3 linked regions of the Lonchura striata genome follow. The protein of the gene in region 2 interacts with the protein of the main gene of each other region in a biochemical or structural test. Links are inferred from orthologs where the notes say so. Each region holds a gene or a part of one and is shown on either strand. Other genes may lie near its edges.

The links.
Region 1: the proteins of CDC27 (region 2) and ANAPC4 form a complex in vitro, tested with the Homo sapiens proteins (2 studies listed by BioGRID). The link is inferred for Lonchura striata from reciprocal best matches to the Homo sapiens genes CDC27 and ANAPC4.
Region 3: the proteins of CDC27 (region 2) and PTTG1 form a complex in vitro, tested with the Homo sapiens proteins (3 studies listed by BioGRID). The link is inferred for Lonchura striata from reciprocal best matches to the Homo sapiens genes CDC27 and PTTG1.

The regions. Positions count from the first base shown.
Region 1 is NC_134606.1:18,430,978-18,437,904, reverse strand, and holds the start of ANAPC4 (anaphase-promoting complex subunit 4), read right to left. Parts: upstream 3,050-6,927; 5' UTR 2,970-3,049; coding exon 2,862-2,969; intron 2,285-2,861; coding exon 2,179-2,284; intron 2,171-2,178; exon of another isoform or gene 2,049-2,170; intron 1,301-2,048; coding exon 1,168-1,300; intron 1-1,167. UniProt on the Homo sapiens protein: Component of the anaphase promoting complex/cyclosome (APC/C), a cell cycle-regulated E3 ubiquitin ligase that controls progression through mitosis and the G1 phase of the cell cycle.
Region 2 is NC_134627.1:8,879,551-8,886,557, forward strand, and holds the start of CDC27 (cell division cycle protein 27 homolog), read right to left. Parts: upstream 3,085-7,007; 5' UTR 2,886-3,084; coding exon 2,859-2,885; intron 1-2,858. UniProt on the Homo sapiens protein: Component of the anaphase promoting complex/cyclosome (APC/C), a cell cycle-regulated E3 ubiquitin ligase that controls progression through mitosis and the G1 phase of the cell cycle.
Region 3 is NC_134617.1:10,964,878-10,972,284, forward strand, and holds the start of PTTG1 (securin), read left to right. Parts: upstream 1-4,329; 5' UTR 4,330-4,453; intron 4,454-5,180; 5' UTR 5,181-5,201; coding exon 5,202-5,283; intron 5,284-5,581; coding exon 5,582-5,760; intron 5,761-6,572; coding exon 6,573-6,651; intron 6,652-7,309; coding exon 7,310-7,407. Other genes in the region: pre-mRNA-splicing factor SLU7, read right to left, coding at 1,297-1,362, 1,508-1,672, 2,209-2,289, 2,892-3,045, 3,653-3,816. UniProt on the Homo sapiens protein: Regulatory protein, which plays a central role in chromosome stability, in the p53/TP53 pathway, and DNA repair. Probably acts by blocking the action of key proteins.

The sequences.
Region 1 (6,927 bases), on a different chromosome or scaffold from region 2:
ATGAGAAAATACTTTCTTTTCAGTTCCAGAGTTAAGAGTATATATTCAATGCATTATGTATATCAAAATTACAAATATCAGAGGATAATAATTTATGTGACCTTTAAAAATTTATCAAGTGATCAAATTAATAAAAGAACTGAAAATCTTTTTTTATTTCCAGTGAATAAAGTTTGTATTGGCTGGCTCAGAAGCTTGTCACCAAATTTTTCATTGCCTGTAAAGCAATTACTATCAGAGGTTTTCTGTTTAAACTCTCTCCAAACCTGCAGTACAACCTACCCACACCTCAAAACAGCTAAAGATACATTGCAGTAACAGGAAGATCAAAGCACAATACTTAATACCACATCTTGGATATATCAGAAGGTTGAGATTCCCCACAAAAAGCTAAGCCTATTCCCACCAGAAGAAGAATGTCAGTGTGGTTAAAGGCACAGCTATTTTCTTGCTATTTTAAATCTGATGCTTATGGCAGGTGAGGGGGGAAATCCTCAAATCAGGAGCTTACACCACCTGCCTCCTTTAAATAAGTGTTTTATTTAACATGTTCTTGCACTGCCATAAGGTGCACATCAGAGGCTTCCTTAAGACAACAGAAATAGGGACCATGATGTCCTCCAGGACACAAGTGCTGCTGAGACTTGTTCAATCACACAGAGTTCATGGTCACTAGAGATAATCTGACTTCCTGAACAGGATTGCCAATGAAATTGGATGTAACACCAAGGACAAAACACAAAAGACATAAACACCAAAATAAAAATCTTGAAAACACAGAATAAATATTTAAATATAATACCTATTCTGACTAACAAAAGAGATGAACATAACATTCTTATAATTAGTTTAATAAATTGATTGATATTGAAGCAAACTGGATCAGAAGACAGGCTGTACATGCTAACACTAGATTAAGCAGCTCTTAAGAAAGAGAAGCACAAAATCATGCACAAAATCACCCAAAGACCCACAAGACTAAGGTGTCAGCACTAAAAATAAGCATATGAAAAGTGTCTATTCTAAAAAGGAAAATTTAGTCAAGTTGTGAGAAAAACCCTCAGGTATGGAATACTGTATTATTTCATGTAACTGCTTGTAACATTAAGAATAAAAATTAACAGTAAGGTGGCATTACATAGCTCATGATTTACTTTTCAGACTCACCTGCTTTCCTCAGTTACTTCCATCCAATGCATGTATGTGATAGATAACTCCACAGAGAAGGAGTGCAAGCTTTCAGGCTTTTCTACATCACACAGAATAATCCGCTTGGTATCAGCAAGGCCAAAAGCCAAAACTAGAGAAAGACAAGTAAAATGTATAAATAACCAATGAGCAAAATGTCTATCTTACACTGACCTAGAACTGAACACGCTTCTAACACTTTTAACAATAGTTCTGATAAAGTAGAGGCTTCCAATTTTGCAAACTTGAGTCCAATATTATGTATAACATTGTCCACCAGAAAGATTTGGTGGACAAAAAACACAAATTAGAAGCTGAGCAACTTTTGTATCACTTTCTTCACTCATAATAGAGAATTGCAGGCAGAAGTTTCTCCATTTCCTTCCTTATAATCACAGGTAATCATCTTAAAAAGAAGTTTCTTAAACTCTTCAGATGCCTTCATAAAACAATATAGGTAGTTTTTATACATATGTCATGGAAGAATATTGTTCCCATCTCCCACCTCTAGTGAATCAAAAATTAACTGATTTCTAGCATAAGTTTATTAAGCTACTAATTTCAACATTATTTCTATTAATAAGGAAAAGGCTATGTTTTTCTTCTCTGGTCTATAATTAGAGTAATTTTAGCCTATGAAGTTTTGCCTATGTTAAGTAAGCTAAGCTTTTCAATCAATCCTGATCAAACAGCTTCTTTCCCTCCCAATAAACTTTGTAGTTCATACAAAATATCCTGCTTAATTAGGAGGTTGAAATTTTGCTATACCCTGAAAAGCAACATTTGGCATATAAATCTGAAATCTTTCTTGCAATTGCATTCAACAGTGTTAATATCTCTATTGCTGTGAATGAACCTACATAAAATTAAGCCACCCTTTTCTTCAAACACAGTTTACTTGAAAATTTCCTTCACAGATGAGAGGCATCATCATTCATGAGTTCCCATGGGGTTTTATTGCACCATATCATCTCATATACTTGACATTACTTTTGCCATCTGGTCTCCAAGCAAGAGCAGTCACTTCTTTTCCTGTATTTTCATTTGGAGGCAAACTCCAAACACGTTGAAAGTTTGCAAGCCGATGAAGTAAAACCTATAAAACGAATGCATGAAGACAAACTTAAACCATATTCTCCCATTAATAAAGTTAGTAAATCAGTTCAAGATGCACCTTTTTTACCCGTTTTTAACTCCTGTGTCTTAAACACCACCTGCTCCTCTAGCAGATGATTCACTCCTATATTCTTTTAGAGGGCAGCACATAGTTTATAGCAGAAGAGAGAAATAAGGTGCATAAGGATACAAGCTCCTAACCAACAGGGGTTACCCACCACCTCTCTAGCAGACAGCCCGAAAGCACAAGTCTTGTCTTCCTACATGATCATACACTGCAGTTCCACGGGAAAAAGTACTTAAAATTAGATTTAATTTAAATAGGCCCATCCATGCATTTAAAATCCTACAAACAACGAGCGCATCGTATATGAATTTGTTCGGAAATCAGAATGCAAAATATGAAGGAGCAGTAAGACGCTCGACTTAAAAAATTGCTGTCCTTAAATGCCTGTCGAGACTCACGAGAAACATGCTGCAAGTAACAGCAAAGGCATGCGGGCCTGCAGGGAGGGCAGCGCCGCTCCTCCCGAGCTCTCACCAGCAGCCGCACTCACCTCCCCCGCTCGGTTGGCCAGGGCGATCAGGTCCCTTTTGGGGGACCAGGCCATGAACACGACCTCCTGCGGCAGCTGCTTCTCGCCCACCTGCCTGAAGGCGGGCATGGCTGCGGGCTGCGCCGAGCCCGCCGGGCCTGCTCCGCTTCCGGGGCGGCGCTGCCCGCCGCGGCAAGGAGCGGGGCGGGGCTCGGAGCCGTGCGGGTTATCCCGGCAGCGGGGCGGGGCTCGGAGCCGTGCGGGTTATCCCGGCAGCGGGGCGGGGCTCGGAGCCGTGCGGGTTGTCCCGGCAGCGGGGCGGGGCTCGGAGCCGTGCGGGTTGTCCCGGCAGCGGGGCGGGATTTGGGAGCCGTGCGGGTTGTCCCGGCAGCGGGGCGGGATTTGGAGCCGTGCGGGAGATCCCGGCAGCGGGGCGGGATTTGGGAGCCGTGCGGGTTGTCCCGGCAGCGGGGCGGGATTTGGGAGCCGTGCGGGTTGTCCCGGCAGCGGGGCGGGGCTCGGAGCCGTGCGGGTTGTCCCGGCAGCGGGGCGGGGCTCGGAGCCGTGCGGGTTATCCCGGCAGCGGGGCGGGATTTGGAGCCGTGCGGGTTATCCCGGCAGCGGGGCGGGATTTGGAGCCGTGCGGGTTGTCCCGGCAGCGGGGCGGGATTTGGGAGCCGTGCGGTTTGTCCCGGCAGCGGGGCGGGGCTCGGAGCCGTGCGGGTTGTCCCGACAGCGGGGCGGGATTTGGGAGCCGTGCGGGTTGTCCCGGCAGCGGGGCGGGATTTGGAGCCGTGCGGGAGATCCCGGCAGCGGGGCGGGATTTGGGAGCCGTGCGGGAGATCCCGGCAGCGGGGCGGGATTTGGGAGCCGTGCGGGTTGTCCCGGCAGCGGGGCGGGGCTCGGAGCCGTGCGGGTTGTCCCGGCAGCGGGGCGGGGCTCGGAGCCGTGCGGGTTATCCCGGCAGCGGGGCGGGATTTGGAGCCGTGCGGGTTATCCCGGCAGCGGGGCGGGATTTGGAGCCGTGCGGGTTATCCCGGCAGCGGGGCGGGATTTGGGAGCCGTGCGGGTTGTCCCGGCAGCGGGGCGGGGCTCGGAGCCGTGCGGGTTGTCCCGGCAGCGGGGCGGGATTTGGGAGCCGTGCGGGTTATCCCGGCAGCGGGGCGGGGCTCGGAGCCGTGCGGGTTATCCCGGCAGCGGGGCGGGATTTGGAGCCGTGCGGGTTGTCCCGGCAGCGGGGCGGGATTTGGAGCCGTGCGGGTTGTCCCGGCAGCGGGGCGGGGCTCGGGAGCGGAGCCGCCGCAGCGCCGAGCCAGGGGAGGCTGGTCAGGCTCTTCCCGCTCTGCTTACTTACGACATACTGTTTAGTACTAAATATTTTTTTTTTGTAAACCCATTTTCCATTTGGAGAGAACGTTTTAAAAAATCACTGGCCATCCTGTGAGACGACTGTAATCAACAGAGACTGAATTCCTAGAACTCGTGCCTTCCCATCACCTACCCTCACTTTCTTCCTTGCCCCATGTCCTCCAACATAAAATCAGAGCAGTATCTCACCTCTCAGCAGTTAAGACCCTTAACGTCCAACACCCATCGAATTAGACAAATAGCTAATCCTAAATACAACATTATCACATTATACACACACATGACAAGGGCTGTGGTAGTTCACTTAGTTGTTTGTTGCTTTTTTTTTTTGTTTGGTATCAGTAATGATGATAAAGGAACTGTTAATTCCATCATGTTTTATTCTGGATGTTAGCACTTACATTTTTAGAAAATGGAACAAAAGGCTGTCAATAAAAAAAATAAATTAGCAACTATGTAGCAGCAAAAAGAGTCATGTCATTTTTTTCTTATTCTTTACTTTCCTCTTGGAGAATATGGCATATTTCATAGCTAATCTTTTAGAGATCCCCATTTTTACTCTCTTTCGAGTTTTCTGTCCTTTCTTTTTGTCAGGTCTGTAAAGGAAAAAAAGGAACACAGAGATTAGAATAAAATGAAGAACACACTTCTCTGTACAAATACATTTGCTGGTATTCTAAATAAGTATATTAATTATGTGGTAGTATGTGAAGTACATGGAACATTACCTGTCTCAAAATGTTATGGTCTTTCAAGTTCACAAAACTGTCCACTTTATTGCCATTATATATTCATTTTATGTATTTATTCAGCATTTAAATTTACACAGATACTGAAAACAAGAAACTCACTCATTGAGTACAAAAAAAGCACACACAGTTTCACGCTGAATATATACTGCATTAATATATAATAGAAAGACTTAGAAAAAAGTATGTGAAGTTTAACACCATTAGAAAGCATCCTGCAATTAGTACAAGACCTAAATACAACTAACAAGTGGATTGTTTTCTATCTCTGACAAAAGATGTCACAACACAAAATTCTGAGTAATTGTAACAAAACATACAACATTTTTATTCGAAAAAGAAATCTAAGCTATCTTCTGCAACGAGTCAGCAAAAGAACTAACTGATGGCCTAAAATATTAAAACCATTGCGGCACAACTGATAGAACAGTATCTTCCTTGACAGAAAAAACAGATGAGGTTTCATAAATTCTTTTAGCATCCTTTTTAATTTCTTTACCAAAGGAAAAAGAAACATTAAGAGACGCAATTTTTATGAGAGATATATAAAATGAAACATTGCTACGTTTTGTGTCTAATACTCCCTAAACAAAATCTGGTTTAGTGTCAGTAGGACATGAAGCAATACACCTGTACCCATCTGCTATCCAGCAGGCATCTGGTGAGTCCCTGGATACTGATTCAAGAGGGTAATGGTCTGAGTCTCACTGTGTAACACAGGTACAGCTTTTGGGAGGGAAAATTTGCCTTCCACTGCTACAGCCATTCAAGTCCAGAATCACAGAAAAACCCATTACTCTGGAAAGGAATTTATAGTAGTGCAATCAATTATCCTGAACTGGAAAGACTGAGCCATCTGCTGGATCATCTCTTAGCAAATCCGCTTTCCTCTTTTCAGTTAGTTCCATCTGAAGACAACCAAAAACCATTTACTTGGCTCTCTGATACATACAGGTATGCATACAGTGTTGTTCTGTATGTAACAAAAGGAAAATCATGGAAGACTAAAAGTACTCAATGTGACTCTTGGTGACTCTAATATATTGTGTCTGTTTTCTCTGCCATTGCATGAGGAACTCAAAGGGGATGAAAGTGTTCCATTACTTCAATTTTCAGTCACCTTGACAGAGTTCCATGCACCAGTCACCAAGTCTGAATCCATATAAATCAGTTTTGAAAGAAAACCCACAGACAGGGAATTGGAAGCCCCAGAAAGTGACCTGCCTTTTATCATACCCTCCCTTCAGTATATACTCCCCAACAGTCCAGCAAGTGAGCAATAGGGAAAGCTGACATCAGCACCTAAAGCAAAATATCATCTCCTTCTGAACTGATTCCGTGACATCTCATCTCATCTGAATGCTGTATGTTACTGTACTAATGCAATATGACACTTACTGACAAGCTGTTCTGGGGCGGGAGAGACTGGGACAGGCACTGCGCTTGTGACCTGCCTTGCCACAAACGAAACAGCCAATGTCAGTCTTCTCACAGCTGTGCTTTGGAAGAGCGCAGCACTTGCAATTGTTACAGTGAAACCAAGCTGCAAAATATATAACATTATTTATGATCTTGGAAAAGTTTAAATTGAACATTCTGAAACTAAGCTTTAAAGCCACATTACCAGGTTTTTAATTCTGGATTAGCTTTGCAGAGATAGCTGTAGTCACCTTCGGGACCCTTATCACATTACTGGACATATTGTGCAATTAAGTGTGAATTATTTTGCCATTAGAACTTTTATCCTATGTGTCATCTTCAAAAGAAAAACACTGCAGATGTTACAATGTATTTACAGATTTTGATTTTTGTAACAGTAACAAAGATAACTGCTTCAGCTATTTATACAGAGGCATAAATACAACTAAATTTGAGCATCAAACAATTTTACCATGATCTCTCAAACATTTTGTAATTCCCTACTTGTTTAGAAAATTCAAAGTTTAGAAAATTAGGAAACACTTATATGA
Region 2 (7,007 bases):
GGATCCCCACACACACTCTCCTAAAAGAGCAGGAAGAAGAAAGGAAGGCAGCAGGGAATCAGCCATACCTATGCAGCAATAATTGTTCATGAGAACAGATACCTAAACCATGACTGTGTCTCAAAAAAGAGGATTTCTTGCCCACCGTCTAGGACAGGAACATTAATCTCAATATAGCACAGTAATTTATTTTATTCTAGAAGAAGCACAATGCATATACACAGCACTAGTGGTACACAACTGCTAAACCACACAGAACAGTGTTCTCAGGGCTGCCTCATATGAATGAGAAAAGTTGGAAGTGTTTCCACATTTTATTCAAGTGTGCTTGCAGAGAGGATGAACCTCCAGGTCTTAATCACTCTTTTAAAAAATAATTAATTTGAAATGCAAAATTAACAGGGAATTCCAAAACTACCATACACAGCCCTGCAGCAAGGCAACTTCAGAAAGGGGGGCAGGAAAATAAAATCAGATTCAGAAAGGTCCATCTTCTACCCAGAAAATCCTGTGCATTGTCCAAGTGTCACTTCATATCTAAGCCAAATAGCTCTTAAGAGATGTTCTCGTCTGACAGTTATACAACCTTGGAAATTGTTTTCCAAGCTGTTTAGCCTATATTGCCACGCTAAGCAGATTCTGCCACGATTTCAGTCTTCGGGGTGGGCAGGGAGGAGGAAAGCTCCAGGATGGGCTGTGCTGCATTCCCCAGTTACACAAACTCTGCCCACTGAACATGTTGGTCCTGCAGTTTGCAGCCAAGTTCAAGCACCATTCCAGTGAGTCACAGCAGATGATCACCTTGAACAGCTCAATTCCAAGCAAAGTGCTCATTTTCTTTCCAAGATGTTTTTCAGAAGTATTTGGAAGGCATCCAGCCTGTTTCTTAGCACATGGGACACATGGATTTATGTTGGAGCTGAAGGGTTTTAAATTGACCGTATCCGGAAGTACAGCACAGGGCTGTAAACTCTGGCACTCTCTTCAACTGAAAAGAATTTTAAAAGTTAGCAAAAACCTAACCAGTGGCCAGAATGCCTCCTGGTGCATGAATTTCATGTAATTGAAGCACAACATTTCTAAGGCTACATACAAACACAAATTCTGTTATTTATCTGTCACGCTGTGACAAATAAGTAACATCACAGCTGTGAGGATGTGAGGATGACAGTTCTTTCCTGGAATGCTGAGCCCTGTAGACATCTGAAAGGCTGGGAGAGAACAGACAAATAGACAGGAACAATCTCTGCAATGACAAAAATCAGAACTAGTGTCAACTTTCCCAATCACTTCATTTAAGAATATTACAAAAACAGAGCTACGTATGTGGACTTCAGCTAAACTGGGAATTCAGAAATGCAACGGACTTCACACAGTCACAAATAATTCCTAAACTTACCAGTAACTCCTGTAAGCAAGGAACAGCAGTAAAACTGACAGCAGCAGAACTACTGCTAAAGGAATGATCTGTCATTTAAAAGCAGAATCTAAATAGATATATTAACATAGCAAAGCCTCATCAAAACATCCAAGCTGGGAAGAGGTTAAGAATGGAGAACGTTTTGGATGCATAATGATGCAGAACAGAGCATTAGAGCGGTCTTCACCTTGCTGAATTACCACAAGGCCCCACATTTCTATCAGGGAGCACTCAGGAGAGCGGACATTTTCACTTGGTCAGTCTAGTTAGCACAGCACTGGAAACATTTGGTATTGTTTCCTGTCAGCTTCACTCGTTCACGCTGCAGTGTGATCTTGCTTCCTTTTCTGTTCTAATCCCATGTTTTCCTAGAATGCCCAGCTGGTGCAAAACCACCAGCCCAGCTCGACAGCTGACACCAGTGATGTAGGATGGCCTCGGCAGGAGAGGGACCAGGTGGCCAAAAGCATTTCCAGCACTGCACGACCCTTGCTCTCAGAGGGGATGAGGAGAGCGGTGGCATCAAGGACACAAACCCCTGGTCTACAAGAATGCCCTCATTGTCACCATCCGCCACAGACAGGGCCAAGTCAGCAGGATGGTTTGCCACAGGAGCCTTTCCTCCCCTTCCACCTTTTCATTAGAAAGAAAAGAGCCAAAAGCAAGAATTCTCACTATGTTCATCACAGAACACAGTCATACTCCAACAAGACACTGCTGCCAGGAACTAGAAAAAAAGCCCAAAACATCCTGCTAAAATGCTAAAAATAGACTTAAAAAGAATGGGAATGTGAATGAGATGACTGATTAATGAAGATTATTAATAGTTAGAGAATGGGCATACAGGAACTGCAGAAAGAAAAAGCAGCTTTTAATTCCGTGAATCACGACTTTTGGATGGGAAGGCTGAGCTCAAGAACAGGAAACCCATCACAGTAACTGCAGTGAGACTGAAACACGAGAGAAAAATGAAATTTGCATTATTTTCTCTCCTAGATCTCCCATTAATCCGAAAAATCCAACTCCTTGGGCAGAAGGAACGTCCTTCACTCGCACGACACAGAGGGATCCGAGCACGCTGCGAGCATTTAAACACGACACGGCAGCACACGCAGAAAGGTGAGCGAAGTATCAACAGGTCTCCCGGGGGATCGGCGGGGCCCTTTCCCGGAGCCGGGTCGGCGGAGGAGCGGCGGGGACCCCGGCACCTCCCCCCGGGGCCCCGGGGGCAAAGGGGCGAGCGCGGCCGGCCCGGGGACGGCAGGGAGGCTGGAAGGGGAAGCTCGGCGGGCTCCGGCAGGAGGAGGGCGGAGGAGCTGCAGCTCCAGCGGGCCCACCGGCCGAGGGGCCTCCGGGAGCGGCCCGGAGCCCCGGCCCCGGAGCGGCCTAACCCGGGCCGGGCCAGGCTTTGGGGCCTGAGCCGCCCGGGGGTCGGTACCTGGACGGGTTCCTGCAGCACCGTCATCCTGCTCTCCCCGGCCTCCGCCTCCTGGTCGCCGAGCCCGAGCGGGGCGGCCCCGGTGCCGGCCCGGCTCAGAGCGAGTCACGGCGGGGCCCGGCCCGACCGCGGCTCATTTGAACCCGCACCGACCGTTACCGGAGCGAGCGAGGCCGGCGGGCGCCGAGTCCGCCCGAACCGGCGGCGGAAATAGCCGAACCGCCCGCCGGAAATACCCGAAGGCGGAGGCGGAAAGAGCCGAGCGTCGACGGAAAACAGCTGGGAAAGGCGCGCTCGGCAGCCGGGAGGAAACTGCTCGAGCCGGAGATGGCCGAAGTGGGGCGGAGATGGCCGAAGTGGGGCGGAGATGGCCGAGCCGAGCCGGAGATGGCCGAGCCGAGCGGAGAGGGACGAGCGTGTGGCGCGTCCCCCGGAGCGCCCGTGGCCCGCAGAACTTGCACTTGGTGCCGCAGGGTGGGCTCGGGGGATGCCCAGCTCTGTCGCGAACCCCTGCGTCTCCCGGGGTGCGCGTGGTTTGGCCAGCGGCTCCCGTGTCCCCGCTCCCCGTGTCGGGTCCAGCGCGGCCCGGCTCTGTCCCCGAGGGCTCCGTGCTGAGGGGCTCCGCGGTGCGTCCAGCCGCGGTATCAGAAATCGCAGGGTCATGTTGAGAAACACCTCCCAAACCATCGAGCCGCCTTGGCCATAGGCCAGAGCACTGAGTGCCCCTCCCGTCGTTCCTTGGACATCTCCCTGGGCAGCCCCTTCCAGTGTTTAACAACATTCTGTGAAGAAATTCCTCCCGATGTCCTCATATCCAGGAGTAAAACTGGCAGACCACAAAGCAGGTAATTTGCCCGTTACAGTATCTGACACACAAAGCTTTAGCAAAATAATGGAATAAAGATGTACAAGTAAACCCCAATTTATTAAATATACTGACCTATCAATAGCTGCCTGCAGCTAGCAGAGGCCTTCCTTGTCCAAATCCTGCTGTGGGCTTGCCGTAACCCCGATGCACACACACCTAACTCAGACTCTGCTCAGGGCTTTGGTCAGATCCTGATGTGCTGCCGAACACGCGTGGGCAGGGGCTGTATCTTTATTTGAGAACAAAAGCTGTGTGTGGAGCAGGAGGGGTCAGCCTGCCCTCTTCCCCTGCACTTCTGGAAGGTGTACTTACACATTTGGTATTGGCAGCAGATCTGCGGGTGTTTGCGCTCAGGGTGTGAGCAGGCAAAGCTTTCTTCAATCCTTCACCTGAGACAAATAAATTTTAACTGCAGGGTAGTGCTGTCCCCTGGGATGGACACCTGGTTTCCTAATCAGGTCGATCCAAGTCATTTTGCCAGACAAAAGGAGGGTGACAGCAACATGAAGTGTCTCCTCCTCTGAAGGCCTTTGGCCTCACTTGCTGATGGTGATGATGGTGGTGTGTGACGTGGTCTGGGGCTCCAGGAAGGAGCTTTTCAAGGAGCACAGTCCATATTCACCCTCCTCCTGATCTCATGCACTACAGATAACTCCTCCTGGGGATGAAAGCTGGCTCCATCTGTCTCTCCCATTCCCCAGGGCACAGAACTGACATCCAGACCTTCTTTGGTATGAGAAGCTGTCTTATCAAGCCTGAGGAGATACAGGCTCTCCAGAGCGTGGGGGCTCCTTGTACCTCTCCTCAGAGTCCCCTGGAATTCATGTAAAACATCCAAACTGTAAAAGGTCAGCATTTGCTGTTGTCTTTGGAGATTTGGATTTACAGAGACTCCTCAGTCCTACAGTGCAGTTCTGCCTGTGGGGTCACTCGCTGGCACCCACAGATGCTTTTATAAATGTCCATGGGACTAAAGCTGCTTTCTCTGTGGAATCCTCAGCTTTTCCAGAGGAGGGGAGCAGCCTTGCCAGGGGAAGAGGCATGGAGGCACAAGCAGAGGTACAGACGTACACACTGAGCCTGTTCAAGTGCATCATTCCAGCCTGCTTTGCTAAGCCAGCTCTGCTTTATAAAGAGACACAACAGATCCCTAAAGTGTGGCTGGCTCTTCCCTCTTTTCCTGTAGTTCTGTCATTTCCCACTGCTTGCTTCCTGTCTCTTTGCAGGTCTCACTTTGGTTTTAATTCAGTGTTACTGCTTTCACCATGGAAGCTGGGGGCTCAAACACAAGGTTTGCACAGAGGAGTGAGAGTGCAGCCTCTTGGCTTGCAGGGCAGGGGTATCACAGCTGTAGCGGGAATATCACGCCTAGCAGGGATATCAAGGCTAGTAGGATATGGTTGAATATTGTGGCTACAGCAGGGATATCATTGCTATAGCAGGGATATCGCAGCTCCAGGGCCCCCAGTCCCTGCTGTGGATTTCCACCTCTCCTCTGCTCAGTTCCTCTCTACCACAGCACGTTCTGCTGCAGGAGTCAGTGCCACAGCAGTGACAGGGACAGACGTGACCCTGGAGCGTGCAGCAAGCAGGCTTCCTTCTGGCCCCATCACCACGGTCCTCTAGGAGGTTAAAGCACAGAGTGCATTAAAAACATGAGGTGCCCAGATCCTGCCCAATGGAAGCTGTAGGAATAGCACAAAGAGCTGCTCAAATCTAATCTTGCATCTATAAACAGCTTGTGTTGCTTTTTATGAGCAGTAGAATCAAACAGTGGGAATTGAAAGCAGCTGTTACTCAGCCACTGCACAGGAACGAGCAAAGTCAACATGTCAGAGCAAAATGCCTTCGATTTCTAGTCAAAGACAGAGTGAGGACATTGGAATAAGGAACAAATCAAAGGAAAGTGTTTGCTGCTCCCAGGTGTTCTGCTGATGGGAAGGCTGAGTTATGTGTCATGAATTATTCACTGCTTGTGGTGATGCTCTGAAGATTGCTTTGCAGGTAGGAAGAGGGAGAGAGCCACCAGCTTGTATCACACAGCCCCCTGAGAGCTCCTGGCTGGAACCATCTGCCTGGAGAAGAACTGTCCAGGGAGCCCATCCCAGGCAGGACATTACCCACAGCCCATGGGCCCTCACCCCATGCCATGAGGGTGGACCTGGCCCAGTTTGGCTGGGCCTGGATCTCTTCTTTCCCCATTTTTCTTCTCCCTTGCTGATTCAGCAGGAGTCAACTTGCTGAAAACCTTCAAAACTAGACTTTTGGATGTCTCATTGATACAGAACAAAGAATGTTTTTCATGCTTTTCTGATGTTTTGGGGGTTTTAAGGGTCTTTCCTGACTGGGACAAGCAGTGCATTGATGATCCTCACTTACAAGTCTGAACTCTTCCTTTTCATTCCCTGCCTTTTCCCCCTCTCCGTGGAAATACCCTGTTACCTCTGAGAGCTGGTGGAGACCAAGGGGTCTCCTCCACCCACCGTATCAACAAGTAGCCCCAAGCCAAGGCAGACAAACCATTTAAGGGAGAAAGGAATAAAATTTAATGAGACAAATGTCACAGAGAAAACCTGAAAAGAGTAACTTGAGGTTTAAAACCTAGTTGCAGATGCACTGAGTACCAGGCTCAGGTACACACACGTGGTGTGTGTTTTGCTTTAGGCAAAACATCCCAGGGAAAGGACATGCATGGAGGAGTCTTGCTCTTCATGGTGCTCAGGTGGGTCCAAGCATTTCTGAGAGCCTGGGAGATAAGTGGGGAGGTCTGAATGCAAAGAATCTTTGGGATGAGAGCATTCAGAATACTCTTTCTCAGATGAACCCAAAATGTCAAAAGCTGTAATTCAACACCATTTAAAAGAGCTTTATATGCAAATAGTTATATGAAGAATTAAATCTTCTGTCAGACTTTGCCACCCAACCATCTATGTTGCTGAGCTGATGAACAGGAACCAGAAAGAAATGGATTAAAAAGGAGATAAAAAGGATGCTGAGCATTCAAAGTTCAGACTTCCGTCTGTCTGCATTTTAACCTTCTGATGCTGAAAGAGATTTTGTGAGGGAAGAGATTTTTAAATGTTTAATTTCTGTATTTAGCACTATCTGGAGGTCATTTTTACTTCCCCCCCTGCCCCACCCCCCCAGCCTCATGCCTTTTACATAGCTGAGGGATAGGAGAAATGTTTAGAAAAGTAAATAGATAATGAAATAATAAGAAATTGGCGGGGAAGCTGGGGCCAGGCAGCAATTTGGATTTTCTTTTCAATTTAATACATTTT
Region 3 (7,407 bases), on a different chromosome or scaffold from region 2:
GGCAGGGACACAAAGGGCAATCAAAGCAGAGCTTCATGCAGGATACAAAACACAATTTACCATTGGCCCCAAATGCAGAAACACTGCTACATAATATTCTAGAAGAATGCTCTTAGCTTTCTCTGTGACAGACACACATTGGAGAACTGCTCACTGTATCCCCAACAAAATTTCCAATTCTTTGAAAGAACAGCAAATTCTAAAACTGTTGCTGTTATTTAGAGCTTGCCATGCCTTTGAACACTGAAGATTTAGACTGCAACATCTCATATAATGTAAATATAACCAAGTTGCAACTCTAAAAGCTTAAAAAAGAATTAAGGAGATATTTATTCAGGAATTTAGTTAGGATTTACAGGAACACTAAGCACAAAAGGCAGAATTCAAGTTTGACAAACACAGCCAGATTTTTTTAACCTGCTTAGTCTTTAACTGAAAAATACTTGCAGCAGTAAAGATGGGAATAACTGTGAGCCCTGGAACACAGACCAGCAACTGGCCAGCACTGACTATGCAAATCTCTCAGTCCTCTCTCTCAGAGGCAGTTCTTAAATTTCAAACACACTTTTCTTCTTTCAGTTCCATTTTATAAGCAATAAGTATACAGAAGCCAACAGTGTTTGCTTCATAGAATGGGCAAGAAAAGAGGAAGAATCTTCTGCTGGGGAGGTCTGTAAAAAGCACTGTAGTCTGGGCTGGGTGGCAGATCGAGCTCGCTGTGCCATCTAGTGACAACCCACGAGGGGACAGCACAGCCTCTGCAAGGAGGCTTTAAAAAACCTATTTCTGACCAGTAGAAGTCTCTGTTTTTTTCCCCATTTCGTAAGTCACTGAGCAGTGATTTTATCTTAAACTAATTTGCTTCTTCTTAAGGAAACATCTTCTGTTCCAAATTATATTAAACATTACTAAACCAATGCACAGTCATCACCTCAGTACTAGTCAGACTTTATCTTTAAATAGGAGAAGAGCATTTTGGTATATGAAAAAAATTACTACATGGAAAACAAGCTCTTCTGACCCAAAATTCCATGTCAATAATTTCAGCAACAATAATAATCACACAGAATTTCAGTCTGTAATTGGAACACAAAGCAATTCTCACTTCAAAAAGATGCTTCAAGTTTTTGAGTGTGACACAGAACGTGCTGGTGTGTTAGGAAAACCTTTAAATTACGGGAGGGTATAACACCCAACAACAGACCCTGTATAGAGAGTTAAAGAGTCAGAAAGCATCAGTAATCTGTTTTATATTTATTCAGCCTAAGGAAAAACATATTACCTAAGTTGACTTACCACTTGCTCCAGCTTCCCTGATGCCAACTCCTCCTGAAGCTTCTGGGCTTTCAGTGTGCGTTTGGCCTGTGCAGCAAAAGAATGCATTTATTTAAATATTTCTCCCTAGCACCACTCTAATATCAGCAGAACACATTACAAGTGTCCCTCCTCCCAGCCCAGCCACACCAAACACTAACTCTCTCCCCAGTAAATCACAGCCCCTACGTACCAGATCAACCTTGGAGTACTCCTCTACGATCTTCATGTGCTCCTCTGGGTTATAACCATTCCACCGGTCTCGCTTCCCATCGTAATCAAACATCAGCTGAGGCTGCACGTGTTCATCTGGGGCAATATTCATGCCTGTGTATTTTGCTCCAACTTTCCTGGGCCTCTGAAAGAAAAAAAAAAAGATATATCAGTCTGTTAGGTTACTCACTCACATATCCTTTTAAAAATATTATCAATCAAGATCCTCTAAAGCAAACTAAATTCAGCACTGTAAGGCTGTGGACTGTAAATTAATGCAAGTAGTTCTGCATGTTTATGTAGCACAGCTGACTTCAAACTCCATAAATTCTTATTTCTATTTTCTACAATTAAGGAAGTAATTAAAACAGTTTCTGGGAGTGGCTTCTACCGGAGATGAAGCAGGAAGACAGACACAACAGCACGAGTTAATGCAATTAACAAGAAAATAACATTTTCATCTATTATTTCAGATCCTATTACAAATGGAATTGATGGATGACAGAATTCTACTTTTCATTAATAATTTCTTTAGAAATTTCTAGGCCATCTCTCACTACTTGTAACATTTTTCAAAACAGCTTTTCCAAACCCAGTATTTCATCTGCAGCCAGCTGACTTCACAAAGATTAAATTCCCGTGGCATTCACAGCCATAAGACAGGGCTAGGAGTGGCTTTACCTCCATGCAGTCCTTCTTCTTGTGTGTCAGGGCGCCGCAGTTCTCGCAGGCTCCTTTGCGGTACCTCGTGGCCACGGCGTGCTGGGGGCAAGCACAGCGTCAGCCCTGGGACAGCTCACAAGGGATCCCAAAAACACCTCCAGGAGTGAGTGCCCTCCCCAAAGCCCAAACAGCTGTTCTGCCTGCTGAATAAAAACTCCTGCCCCCCTCAGAAACACATAACCAGGAATCTCCTCGTGTAATAGACCCAAATCCGTATTTCATGAGAGAAGCGCTTTGCACACGTGTGTAAGTACATTTCTCTCCCTCTTAGGGTTTTTTATAGAGGTGTACAGAGAGAAATGAAAGAGAAAATAATTTCTATTTCTGCTTCTTATTTTTCCTATACAGAATGTGTTTAGAGAATTACTTACCTAGAGTGAGTGCTTAATTAAATTCTAGTGAGGCTTGTTTGAGCCTGATGGCCAATCCAATCCACCTGTGTCTAAACTCTCTCTCATCACAAGGTGTGTAAGAGTTATAAATAAAGTCAGAAAAAATAGTATGTAGTTTTAATATCCTCCTTTATACAGTATATTAATGTATTTTAGCATAGTTATAATACAGAAATAATTCAGCCTTCTAAATTAAGTCAAACATTGTCATTTCTTCCCATTAAGTTTGGCTACATTTACAATATGTACCTCCTGAACGCCTCGTTTGTACCAATCTCCAGAGGAGTTATACTGCTTCTGCTTCTCTGGCTGAGGTCTCTGATGCTTTAGTGTGGGTCTCTTGGAAGGATCTATGTACCATGGCACTGAGGAGATGTACTGAGGAATATGAGGGTTGATATCTCTGCAAAAGATGTTGCGCAGTCAACACACGGCATGGGGAAAAAGCCCAAAATAACTCATTCTAATGAACAACATTCACGTTAAAGCACAAGTGATAATAAATAATGAAGCTGGTACAAAGCACCACAAAATAAATTCTCAGTTTAATAAACACAGACTTTGAGGCTTTGTTGCCACCGAATTCACCTAAACTCCTGACTCCAAATCAAATGGCTTATTCTGTGTAGTGTTACTGAGCAAAAAAAAAAAGCAACACTGCTCAGAAGCAACAAGCCCTGCAAAAACAAGGGAGAGGCAACAGATGAGCTACAGTGTAAAAGACTCCTGTGCTATGTCTTGCTCACTTTTGAAATACCCCGTGCTATTACCTTCATGGATGGGACTTTTTAGTAGAACTGTCAGCAGCTGACAGAAAATAAACATTGAACCTACATTTTTCTATAAAAAATCGTATGACTGGAACATTAAAATACAAAGTTCAACTATTTACTTCTACAGGACCTCACACTGAAATCATGTGTCACCCTCACAATTGTTCTTTAACCACAACAAGAAAAGAGATTTTTCCTCAGCCACTTTACAATAAGCACAGCTTTAGCAAAACATACTTTCCTTCTTCATCCACTTCAGCAGGTGCATTCCCCAGTTTTCTCTGTTCTTCTAATTCTTTCTTTTTCCTCCAATCTTCCCTTGTCATCTTCTTTGGCTCCTCCAGGCTCACATCAGTTGCCCCCCCTGCAGGAGGGGCGTTTGCTACCGCACCTGAGGCCATTCTGGCTTTTTTCCTTAGGAAAAAATAAAAATAGAAGACAAAAGAAAAGCGTTACTCATCAATACCCTCTGACATCACAGCTCTTCAACGCGATTTTGTGTCACGGAAATGAGCTAACCCGAATTATGCATTTCTGACATACCTCTGTGCTGGAAAACGAGCCCCACTGCAGAAACACAGAATTACCTCACTGCTAACCCGGACCCGGACCTGCCCTAGCCCGGCAGGGAGGCGAGAGAGCGACCGGGGGCAGCGGCGCCAGGCCCGGGCCGGCAGCGCTCGCTCGGAGCCCCGAGCCGCGCTCTCAGGGTCCAGGTCCCGGTCCCTTTCCCAGTCTCGGTTCCCGATCCCAATCTCGGTTCCCGGTCTCGGTTCCCGGTCCCGGTCCGTCCCCCCAGCCCTGTTTACCTGCCAGGCCGCTGCGCCGTCCCACAATGCCCCGCGGCCCCGCTCACTTCCGGGGCGGACCCACCTCCCGGAACTCGCGTGCAGCGGCGCGCGAGCGGCGCGCGCAGCCAATCGGCTGCCGCGCGTGGGTCGAAGCGGCCAATGGGCGGCTGCGGGCCGGTTTAAAAGACGGCGCCGTTGGGTGTAGGAGCGCCCTGACTGAGCTTTGCCGGTGGTGCTGCTTGCTGAGGTGAGCTCGGGCTTCGGCACCGTGAATCTTGCCTTCCGCTTCAGGCTGTACAAAGGGAAAGAGTTCCGCACAGAAAAAGGCAGGGAAGCTGGGGAAGGGTTTGGAGCGCAGGTGTGATTTTGGAGTTGCTGGGAGCGTGCTCAGCTGAAGGAGAGGAAGCTTAGGCGAGGCTTTGTTGCTCGCTACAATCACCTGAAAGCAGGTTGTAGCCAGGTGGATGGAGATCGGTGTGTTCTCTTAGGCAACCAGCAACAGGACAAAAAGAAATGGCATCAAAGTGTCTGTGGGGGATTTGAGCTGGCCATGAGGAAGAATTCCTGACAGAAAGGGTGGTTAGACATTAGAAAGGGCTGCCAGGAGAGGTGGTGCAGTCATTGTAGAGGTGTTTAAGGAAAAGCTGGATGTGGCACCCAGTTGCGTGGCTGTATTTAGGTTGGACTCGATTATTCAGAGATCCTTTCCAGCCTCACTAACTGTGACTGAGTTTTCTTGCAGATGTCTTTAATGAGGAATTGCTTGTTCACCTGGGTAATGGTAGTGATGAGCCCTAACAGTGCCTTCAAACCTGAGAGTCTTTAGCTGAACTGCTCTATAACGGTGGGAAGTAGGGGTTTGTTCCCCTTGTCTAGAGATTAGTATGTGATAGCTGTTATTTTTAATGGGGCTTGCTTAAAAATGTGGTGCGATGAGACAAATGACAAAAGTGCTTTCCCTTTTTCCTCTGCAGAGTAATCACATCAATCTGAAGATGGCAACTCTGATCTTTGTTGACCAGGAGAATAGTGAACTTCATGCTCCCAAGAGTCAGCTGAAGCTCCCTTCAGGATCTTGTGCGTATTTGCTGCCCTGAGCCAGTAGGGATCAAGTGAAGGGCATAAATCAGTTTTAGTCACTGCTTTTAATGGTAATAGTTTCCTATTCATAAATCCACTTACCTGACCAATTCTTCTGAGGTCATCAGTTGGTATAAAATTGACGATAACTCTGTGCTTTTGTCATAAGTGTGGCTTATGAGTTATAGATGGTGAACAGTGCTTTCTATGACAGCTACTTTGCCAGCATGTGCACTTACTTTGCCAAGCTTTAGGGTTGATGATGTTTGCTTTTTTCCTTTCTCCCCCATTCCAGCAAAAGCCTTAGCTGAAAGAACACAAGTTAACACTCCACTTCCTAAAAAAGCAATCAGTACTTCTCCAGTCACATCTCGCTCTGTCAGAAAGGCTCTTGGAAATGTGAATAAAACTGAAGTCGTCACAAGCAAGACAGATAAGTTAAAACAGAAAAATCAGCCTTGCACTGTGAACAAAGTGAGTACAACACACTTATGCTGGGAAGGAGGGGAAGTCCATAATTTACTTGCTGTTGAGGCTTAACTCTAACATAATTAAGCACCACACAGATGTTCCCTTAGTCCCTCTTTGATGGGATAGGGGGTGAGACTTGGAAGGGTTAATGTGAGAAAAATAATAGGCTAAAGTTAAGTCAATTTAATAAATAAAAATCTTGAAAAACAAAACCAATTCCTTGCCACCAGCTGACTAATGCCTTGCCAGTCCCAGAGCAGTGTCAGCCCTGCTCTCCCACCACTTTTCCTTGCTGAGATGCTATGCAGTATGGGGCATCCCTCTGGGCAGCTGGGGTCAGCTCTCCTGGCTGTGTACCCCCAGCCTCCTCACTGCTGGGGTTGTGAGAAGCAGAGAAGGCCTGGACTGTGCAAACACTGCCTGGCAATAGCTGAAAGAGCAGTTTTCATCATGAATCCAAAACATGGTTCATAAAAATTGCTAGGAGGAAAAATAACTCTCTCCGACTTAGAAGCAGGGCATCTGTGTAGAGGCTTATAGAGAAAATAGTCTGAGCTAATGTCTTATCAACATCTTAAGAGTCAGCTGTTCTAGGGCAGTCATCTCTTGCCACCATATATAGTACTGCACTGCATAAACTCAGCTGAAATGTTTGCCCATCTTATTTGTGTTGAAGGCATTAGAATTTAGGCCTGACTGAGAAAAGTATGGCAGGTATATTGTCTGTAGACCTGAATAGCATAAGAAAGCCACTACAAATATTTTACAGTAGCTCAAATTATGTTACTTCCTCTCTTTTTATGACAAACAAAAAGACTGGATTTGAAAGCTGCCATACAGTGGTTGAAGAAGATTGGCCAGAAATAGAAAATATGTTTCCTTTGGATCCTCAAGGTAAGAACTATTGATGTAATTAAAATTAGCAAGAAGGCTTTAATGAGTTGTGGCATTGTAAGAATTTGTCCAAGCTACTGTGGCACACAAGCCAGCATTGCATTTCTTCTGAGTCCTTTCTGAAACATGAGGGTGCTTGTTGCTTCTGAAATGCTTTAACAGGAATGAGCTGGTATTTCTAACTGTAATGGCTGTGCCTCAGATGTGTTACTCTGAGTCTCTTATTGTGGTGACAAGATACAGAAAAGTCTACCAAGATTTGTAATTGAAGAGATTCCTACTGCTCTAGGATATAATAGTTGAAGATTAAACTTCTAAAGCTGTTCTTAAGTCATCCCATTTCAGATTTCTCAGTCCTTCAAAGTGTCCTTAAAGCTTTCCTCTTAATGTGGATGTGTGTGAAAACCACTGTGCCAAAGATGAAATGTACATGCTTTGTTTGCTGAAGTTACTGCTTTACAGTGGCAAGTCTATTAGGCAGTCTAGTGTTTTTATCAGGGTTGGTGTATGGGATTTCATGGACAACTGAAAGGTGTAGCTGCAAGTAAATATCCCATAAGAGGAGACTGTGTTGTTTTAGATTGGCTCCTATTTAATTTAGTCTAGAAGAGTTTGCAGTTCCCAGGCTACAGCACACTTAACAGTCTTTCTTAAACAGACTTTGAGAGTTTTGATCTTCCTGAAGAGCACAAACTAAGCAATATCAACCTGTGTGGTGTCCCCCTCATGGTGTTTGAAAGGACATATGACAGATGT